Linked DNA regions of Drosophila melanogaster. The protein of the gene in region 2 interacts with the protein of the main gene of each other region in a pairwise test. Each region holds a gene or a part of one and is shown on either strand. Other genes may lie near its edges. The genes, in order: EMC8-9 and EMC2A.

What was found.
Region 1: the proteins of EMC2A (region 2) and EMC8-9 interact in a two-hybrid assay, tested with the Drosophila melanogaster proteins (2 studies listed by BioGRID).

Annotation. Positions count from the first base shown.
Region 1 is NT_033778.4:22,881,048-22,884,972, forward strand, and holds EMC8-9 (ER membrane protein complex subunit 8/9), read right to left. Parts: upstream 1,644-3,925; 5' UTR 1,553-1,643; coding exon 1,355-1,552; intron 874-1,354; coding exon 460-873; 3' UTR 275-459; downstream 1-274. Other genes in the region: YME1L (YME1 like ATPase), read right to left, coding at 2,115-2,778, 2,854-3,244, 3,301-3,617, 3,673-3,755, 3,861-3,925. UniProt on the Drosophila melanogaster protein: Part of the endoplasmic reticulum membrane protein complex (EMC) that enables the energy-independent insertion into endoplasmic reticulum membranes of newly synthesized multi-pass membrane proteins like rhodopsins.
Region 2 is NT_033777.3:16,994,116-16,998,040, reverse strand, and holds EMC2A (ER membrane protein complex subunit 2A), read left to right. Parts: upstream 1-1,969; 5' UTR 1,970-2,081; coding exon 2,082-2,115; intron 2,116-2,227; coding exon 2,228-2,636; intron 2,637-2,762; coding exon 2,763-2,919; intron 2,920-2,981; coding exon 2,982-3,230; 3' UTR 3,231-3,499; downstream 3,500-3,925. Other genes in the region: CG3534 (uncharacterized protein), read right to left, coding at 1-576, 867-988, 1,393-1,452.

The DNA.
Region 1 (3,925 bases), on a different chromosome or scaffold from region 2:
ATCCACATAAGTACGTATTATGTATACCTATGTATAATCAGCAATCGCGATATTACAATATTATTGTAAAATATTTCAATTTACAAGCCAGACAAACCAAAAGCAAAATTATATACATATTATTCATCTGTATTTATTAACGATAATTGTAACGCGCTTAGGTTTACTCAACACAATAAACAGAACAGAACCGGACCGGACCGGACTTAAAAAGGATATTACAATAGGTGCACCAACAGACGGACTCGGACTGCAGACAACATTTGACTCAAAACATGATGAAAGAATTGATTATTTATTAATTAGTTGAATGTTATTTAACTTATATGCATTATTCTAAAGATTACTGAAATCCAAATGTAATTACAATAAATTAAATTGCAAGGTTGAAATTCCGGCATGTTCCCTCGAATGCGATTTTGCTAGACTAAAAAAAAAACGTACGTTTGAAACGGACGACTAGTACAGTTTCTGCAGATCGTTGAGCGGCTGATTCAGGAAGTCGTTGGTCCAGTTTTTGTCCGGATTATCTAGATGGTTGTCAAAGTCAACCAAATCCCGCATGGCTCCGCGCTTCAGCAGCAGCGACACGCCTTCCAATGTATCGGACGCCTGTGAGAGCGTAAACTTGGCCTTTGACCACCTTGCTCCAGAGTCTCCGGGACAGTTGAATACCTGGATGGCGGCTCGGTCGTGCTGCAGCGTCATCAGTTTGTTGTCCACCACCACAAAGCAGGCGTTCTTGAAGTTCTCCTGGATCTTGTCAGCTATCTTGGCGGCTGGGGTCTTGTCGACCTGGTTGTCGTAGAAGTTCTCCGGTGCTGCGTAGTAGCCTGCGATTACTAATCCTTCCCGTTCGGCGTGGGCATCGATCTGAAAGTGTAAGGTAATGTATTATTATCGTTATTTTATAAAATGTTTTAATTTAAACAATGGTACAACCTTATCGGCTTTTAAATTTAATTCAGTCTTCACAACTTCAATGCTTTAAGACTGCTAGTTTAATTTGGGTAATAAACTTCTAACAGGGTAAAAGTGGTGTGACACTAGTTTTTGAATTTGATATGCTAATATTAAAATACCATCGTGGGGTACAAGGTACATTTTACTAAATAAAGATCGCTTGGAACATAAACCTTTCTGTTCTAAGCACAACACTGGATAACTATGCAGCCGCAATAAGTTAGAATAGTTATATATCTTTTGGATAGCGGAGTGTTTGGCCAGGGTGCGAGGATCTAGATACAAATTGAAGCCATAATAGTTCCATTATGGGGCGCACCACATTGCTGTCCGGACACAAATGCACCGAGCCCCTCGTGATGTGAGTTTAGGAAGGGCAATTGGTAATTACCAGCATGAGGGCCACCTCCGCCATGGGGGTGACATACAGGCACTGGTGGAAAAGCGGAATCGCATCCACGATTTCCACTTGGGAGCCCTTCGATGTCTTCTCGGCCAGCAAGAGTCCGTTGACCGCCTGGTGTGGATACTTGGCCGCGTGGAATATCAACTTGGCGTACGCCCGCTCCGAGACCTTGTAGTCGCACATTTTCTCAGAATATTATCTCAATTTATTCGGCAAAAAATAAAACATGAATTGGAAATTCGACAGCTAGAAAGTGTGACCGCGACGCAGCTGTTCAAATATACCGCAAACGTCAAATATACAATGAAAAATACTAAAATGGATGAGCATGGAATGGATTCCACAAAAAATGTGATCAAAACTATATTTGTTAATTATGTCTTTAACATTGAAAATATATTTATAACTTAAGTTCTAGAAAATGGTTTCTAACATAGGTTGCAGTAGTCTGGTCACATCGATATGGGCGCGCAAACAATATGTGGATTCCACTTCAAATTAATTTATTACTCAAACTAATATTTAATTCTAACGTGAATGATGGAAAACATAACTGAATATGTGTAACATTTTATTTCTTAACTGTCCGTCTGCGTCTCGCTCTTGCTTGGTTTTTTTCTCCGGTTTTTTATATATGTATATTGTAACTAAAAATATTTAGCAGTTCAGCTGAATGTCCGGTGGCAGACCAACCCGGCCTTCCAATTGGATCCTTGAACACCATCAAACCACACCGATGGGGGAACTACGTCTGGCTTTCATTCAGTATTGCCTTGATGTCGTCGGCGTCAAGAGTCTCGTACTTGAGAAGCGCCTCCGCAAGCGCTTTGTGCTCCCTGGTGTGTTTTCGCAGGATAGCCTTCGCCCGCTCGTAGCTGTCGCTGAGGATGCGCTTGATCTCCGCGTCCACGGCTTCAATGGTGTTGGGACCAAGGGTGTCACCGGTGCCCAGACCCTTTGACGCCTCGATGGTGCGAAGACCGACCTTGTCCGACATGCCCCAGTCCCTGACCATATGCGTCGCGATCGAGGTTGCCTGCTTGAGATCACTGCTGGCTCCCGACGTAATCTTGTCCGTGCCGAAGACCAGTTCCTCAGCAGCACGACCGCCCATCATGGTGTCCATCATGGCCAGCAGCTGTGCCTTTGTGACATGGTAACGCTCCTTCTCCGGTATGTAGGCGGTGTGTCCAAGGGAGGGTCCGCGGGGCATGATGGTCACCTTGTGCAGCGGATGCGACTCCTTGGTGTAGAAGGCCACAATCGCGTGGCCGCCCTCGTGGTAAGCGGTTATGGTGTTGGCCTCCTCGTCCGGTAGACGAGCCTTGCGCTCGGGTCCCATAAGTACTTTGTCTCGTGCCGTTTCCAAATGCTTCATGCTGACCGTTTCGGCTCCATCGATGGCAGCTCTGCCAAAATGTTAGAATTATTAGTACCGCTCTTCAAAATTGTGATTGAATAATACAACACAAGTTATTCCTTACCTTAACGCCGCTTGGTTAATCATGTTTTCCAGATCCGCTCCAGTAAAACCAGAGGTGCCGCGCGCCAGCATGTCCAAGTCTATTTCATCGTGCAAAATCTTCGTCAGATACAGAGACAATATCTCCTTACGTCCAGTGAAATCGGGCGTCGACACCATGACTTCTACATCAAATCGGCCGGGACGCAGCAGAGCCTGATCCAAATCGTCGCGACGATTGGTGGCTCCCAAAACAATGACGCCAGCGTTCTGATGGAAGCCATCCATCTCGGAGAGCAGCTGATTGATGGTCTGATTGGCGTAAGGATGCAGCACAGAGTTGGTTCGCTTGGCGCCCACCGAGTCGATTTCGTCAATGAAGATAACACAAGGGGCACGGGCCTTTGCTGCCTCTGCAAGATGATGTTCTTGTTTAGTTGAGCACTTTGGATAATTGAAATCTACTTACTGAACAGATCACGCACTCGTCTGGCTCCTTGGCCTACGAGCACCTCGTCGAACTCCGGTCCGGCAGCATGGAAGAAAGGAACTTTGGCTTCACCGGCGACGGCACGGGCCAGCAGTGTTTTGCCAGTACCCGGCGGGCCAACCAGGAGCACTCCCTTTGGAAGCTTTCCGCCCAAATTTGAGAACTTTTCCGGACTCTTCAGGAATTCAACGACCTCCTTGAGCTCCTGCTTGGCTTCGTCGCAACCCTTGACATCCTCAAAAGTGACGTTGATCTCCTCAGGGTCCACTTCAACCTGGTTGCCCAGTTGTATGCTGCTGAAAGAAAGGCATATCAGATGGGTAAAGCAAAACTAATAACGTGGAGGCTCACCGAAATACGGATCCATTGGAGGTTGTAAAGAAGCTCAGGAAAATGCCCAAGAACACGACGATAACGACGATAGTCTGCAAAGTCTGCGTGACAATTACTAGAATTTATTTATAACACTAAAGAAGACCAAGGCCTTCTGTGGTTTTCAAAGTAATCATGGTACACTTTGAATGAATTTAAACTCGTACCTTCAGATATTTCATAGTTTTTCCTGATTTTGGAGAGTCCTCCGAGTTAGCGGCGGCCAAGTAGC
Region 2 (3,925 bases):
GGACTGACCGGAATGTCCAGGCGCTTGTCCAAATCGGGTGCACAAACATTTAGGCATTCTTTGGACCAGTTCTTCTTGCGGATGTCCAGCAGATTCATGCCGGAACCATCACTGAAGTCAATTGGAGCGACGGAGCCCAGAAATAGCGATGATATAAAACTGCTGACCAATGAGATTCGGTTGGCCTCTTCGTAGGCGTGGCAGCGTTGCTGATATATCTTTCTAATTTGGGGACCCGTAAAACGTTCGTAGCACTTCGAGCCCGTCAGTTCCACCATGTTAAGTTTGCCACCAACAGCCATCTCCATCTCTAGGCACTGTTTGGTGGTGGTGGCGTCCATCCAAATCGGAGTACGATTTACCACAAAGGCGGAGTCGTCGATTTGTGCGTGAAGGAACTTCTCGGAATCGAGGTTTTGCAGCGTGTTGATTCCATGTTTGGACCAGTAGAGCGATCCGTGCTGCTGTCCGGAGCCACTGATGGCAGCTACGGTGCTAAGATCCGCTTGCTGCATAACCAGTCGGTCCAGGACAATGTCCATGGCCTTCACCCACATCACTGGTTGTACAAAGTATCTAAAGAAGAACAAGTAAAGGTGGAGTCAGGTTAGCACATATATATTTTATAGTACCCATTGTATATATGGTCCCTGTTATAGGAAGGTTAAAAAAAACTTGAAGTGATAGAGACCCATTGTGGTGTAATAAAACAACTGCTATGAAATAGGGCCCTAAGTATTATCGGACAAATACCCCACAGCGCAAGATATAAAAACGTAAAATATATCCCCCTATTTGCTTTACGCAAACAATCATCCCATTAAAATCTTCAATTGGAGTAATGGATAGTGGTGAAACAGACTCACTCATTTTTGATGGATCCAGCGTTGGCTCCACCGGTGGTCCGGAACTCCGGCAAGTCGGTGTCGAATTTCACTTCAGCCGCGGCAACCACCTCCAAACTGGAGCCCAGCAGGACGGCTTTGAGCTGAGAGGAGTAAATGGGGCAGCAATTAGCGATATGGAGACACACCTCGAAAATAACGATCAAACATAGAGGGCAACTAGGAGTCACCGCCAGCGTCATTCAGGGATTGTGAAAGTTATTGCGGCTCTATTAAGATAATGTCGGGGGCCAATACCTCCGAACATGAATTTCAATAATCAAACCATAATAGTTAAATCGGTTGGCGCTCGCGTCTTTAGCAGATAAGCGAAAATCGAGCCCCGGTCACCGCAACTGATAAGAGTAGTTCGTGTTTCAAGTTCCCGAGTACCGTTTGACCTTTTCCAGTAACACCATTCGCACGCAATTGGCCCAGATGTAGTCGATTTGGAGACGCCTCCACATCTCAGATGCAAAGATACTACGTAGGCAGTTCCAGTTCTCACCTTTTGCGTGCTCAAGTCGAAGCCAAGAAAGGTTCGTTTCAGCTGCTTTGGCGGACCCATGTTCAAACTGCTTCCGGATCTGTTGGGAGTTGGGGAAATTAAACACAGCACCGCATGCGGCACTGCCCGATTCCACGGCTTTAATACCCGGAGAGCACGAGAGACTTGGCTTTTGTTGACGGTACCACAATTATTTGATTTGTTAGTGTGACCGTCGCTGGAAGAAAAACTATCATGTTTCATGTTTTCGTTGGCGCGCTTTTCAAATGTGCACTTGACTTAGAAATCTGTTAAAATGGATAAGCAATGCACAAAGTTTGGACAAAATAAGATTAATGCATGGTAAAATAATTCATTAAAGAATCCTTTTCAAGGACCTACAAGTATTTCAGAAGTATTAACAGTTTAATTAACTTTGCAAATATCGGAAACAAGGTATATGTAGAAAAACTTAACTTTAGAAGTCTCTTTATAATAAAAAGTTTTAAAAAATTACCTCTGACTTCATTTCTAGACTTTACGATATTCAAAAAGCAGGTTGGCAGCGCCACGCTAGTGTTATTTGGTATAATCTAACGGCTCATTACGCTGCCACACTTTTATTTTGCCAAGAAGGAAATCGCTAGTTAATGATTACAATTGGGAAATTAAATTAAATTGATGAGATATTTAAGTCCGCCTAAGTGAATATGTCGCTAGATTATGAGAAGATGAGCTGGTCGGGTAAGTTTTCGGCTTTTCCCGGCTCCAGACAGGTGCAGACCACGTCAGTGGGTTGCTCCCAATTGCCATGAATGAAAAGTGCCGTATCATAAGCGTATGATCATCCTTTCAGATGTACGGGATCAGTTCAGAACGTGGCGCGAGGAGACGGGTCGCCACAGCGAGGAGGTGGTCCAGCTGTGGGTTGCTGTGCTAGAGGACAAGGTGCACAAGACCGGCAACGAGCGGCATCTCATCCTGGAGCAGGTGATCATCGCGGCATTGGATACGGCTCGCTTTGACATCGCCACCAAGTGTACCAAGCAGCTGTCCCTCGAGTTCCCGGGCAGCCTGCGCGTGATGAAGTTCAAAGCGATGCGCTACGAGGCCCTGGAGCAGTACGATGAGGCCGACGAGGTCCTGGATGCAATCATTGCTAAGGACGAGACAAATGCCGCGCCCAGGAAGCGCAAGATTGCCATCCTTAAGGCCCGTGGTCGTCGCCTGGAGGCCATCAAGGAGCTCAACGAGTATCTGAAGAAGTAAGAAAGCTAAGTTCATGGTGTTTTTGGAAGAACGGAACCAAATTAGTTTCCGGCATCCGGTTGCTAGACAACTACTTATCTTACCATGTACGATAATCTCATAACTATTTAATATTCCTTCAGGTTTATGTCTGACCAGGAGGCATGGCATGAGCTGTGCAACATGTATCTGGCTGAAGGCGAGTTTGGCAAAGCTGCCTTCTGCATGGAGGAGGTTTTGCTGCACAATCCGCATAGCCATCTAATACACCAGCGTTTGGCAGAAATACGATACACAATGGTGAGCTATATAAGCCCACTAACCAGTAATGAAGTCCATCTTATGAATTAATTTTCTTTCAGGGTGGCGTCGAGAATATGGAATCGGCTCGCACTTACTATTCGCAGGCCCTGAAGCTTAATCCGCATAACTTGAGGGCCCTTTATGGCATTTACTTGTGCTGCAACCATTTGGACAACTCTCGTGCTGTGAGCTCCAAACGGAAGGAGCTGCAAAAGTTGAGTCAATGGGCCCTCGAACAACTTTTGACTAAACAAACGATTGTACCCTTGGAGGCTGCCTTTGGAAACCTGGAAATTAAATCGAATTGACCAATATAAGCACTAATAATTTGTGCAATAGATGCCAGAATGTAATGGTTCCAAATATTCTCAGAAGTGGGTTTCCAGTTTCTGTTCTTTAAGCAGGTTACATAGATAAACAATTAAAGAAATAGGAGTAAAAACAATTTTATAGTCAGTGCATCCAAGCAACTGTTTTTGGTGGTCTAGTATTGTTGACGGCATTGAAACCGGATAATTTAAAACATTTATTATTGAGGTAGGCAAAAATAGTCCTGTAATAAATTTAGATTAAACGCAATGAACTGCTTTGAATCATACTTTTAATCTTTGGCCTCAAGTTTTAAGCAATATTAACTCGTGCCCATGTGCTTACATCCGTAAAATTAATCGGGCACTGAACGACATTCAGAATAAGTCGAAGAACATTTATTCTGAAGATGGTGCCTATTGTATACTTGACTATTCGCTGAGGTCATTGACTCTTATTATTGTAAAAATTGCTTTAATGCACTAGATTAATTCTCACTAGGTTTGTGCGTGTCCATCGTCATACAATTGCAAATTTATATACGTACATGGCAATAACCATATGCATATTTACTTGCATAGCACTGTAGGTGCAATCGACGACTGCAGGGCAGCGAGGGCAGCGCTGATAATCCAGCGGACGGTTAAAAATAGTCCAACAATGGGACAGAATGCAATCAGTGGAATACCCCTCC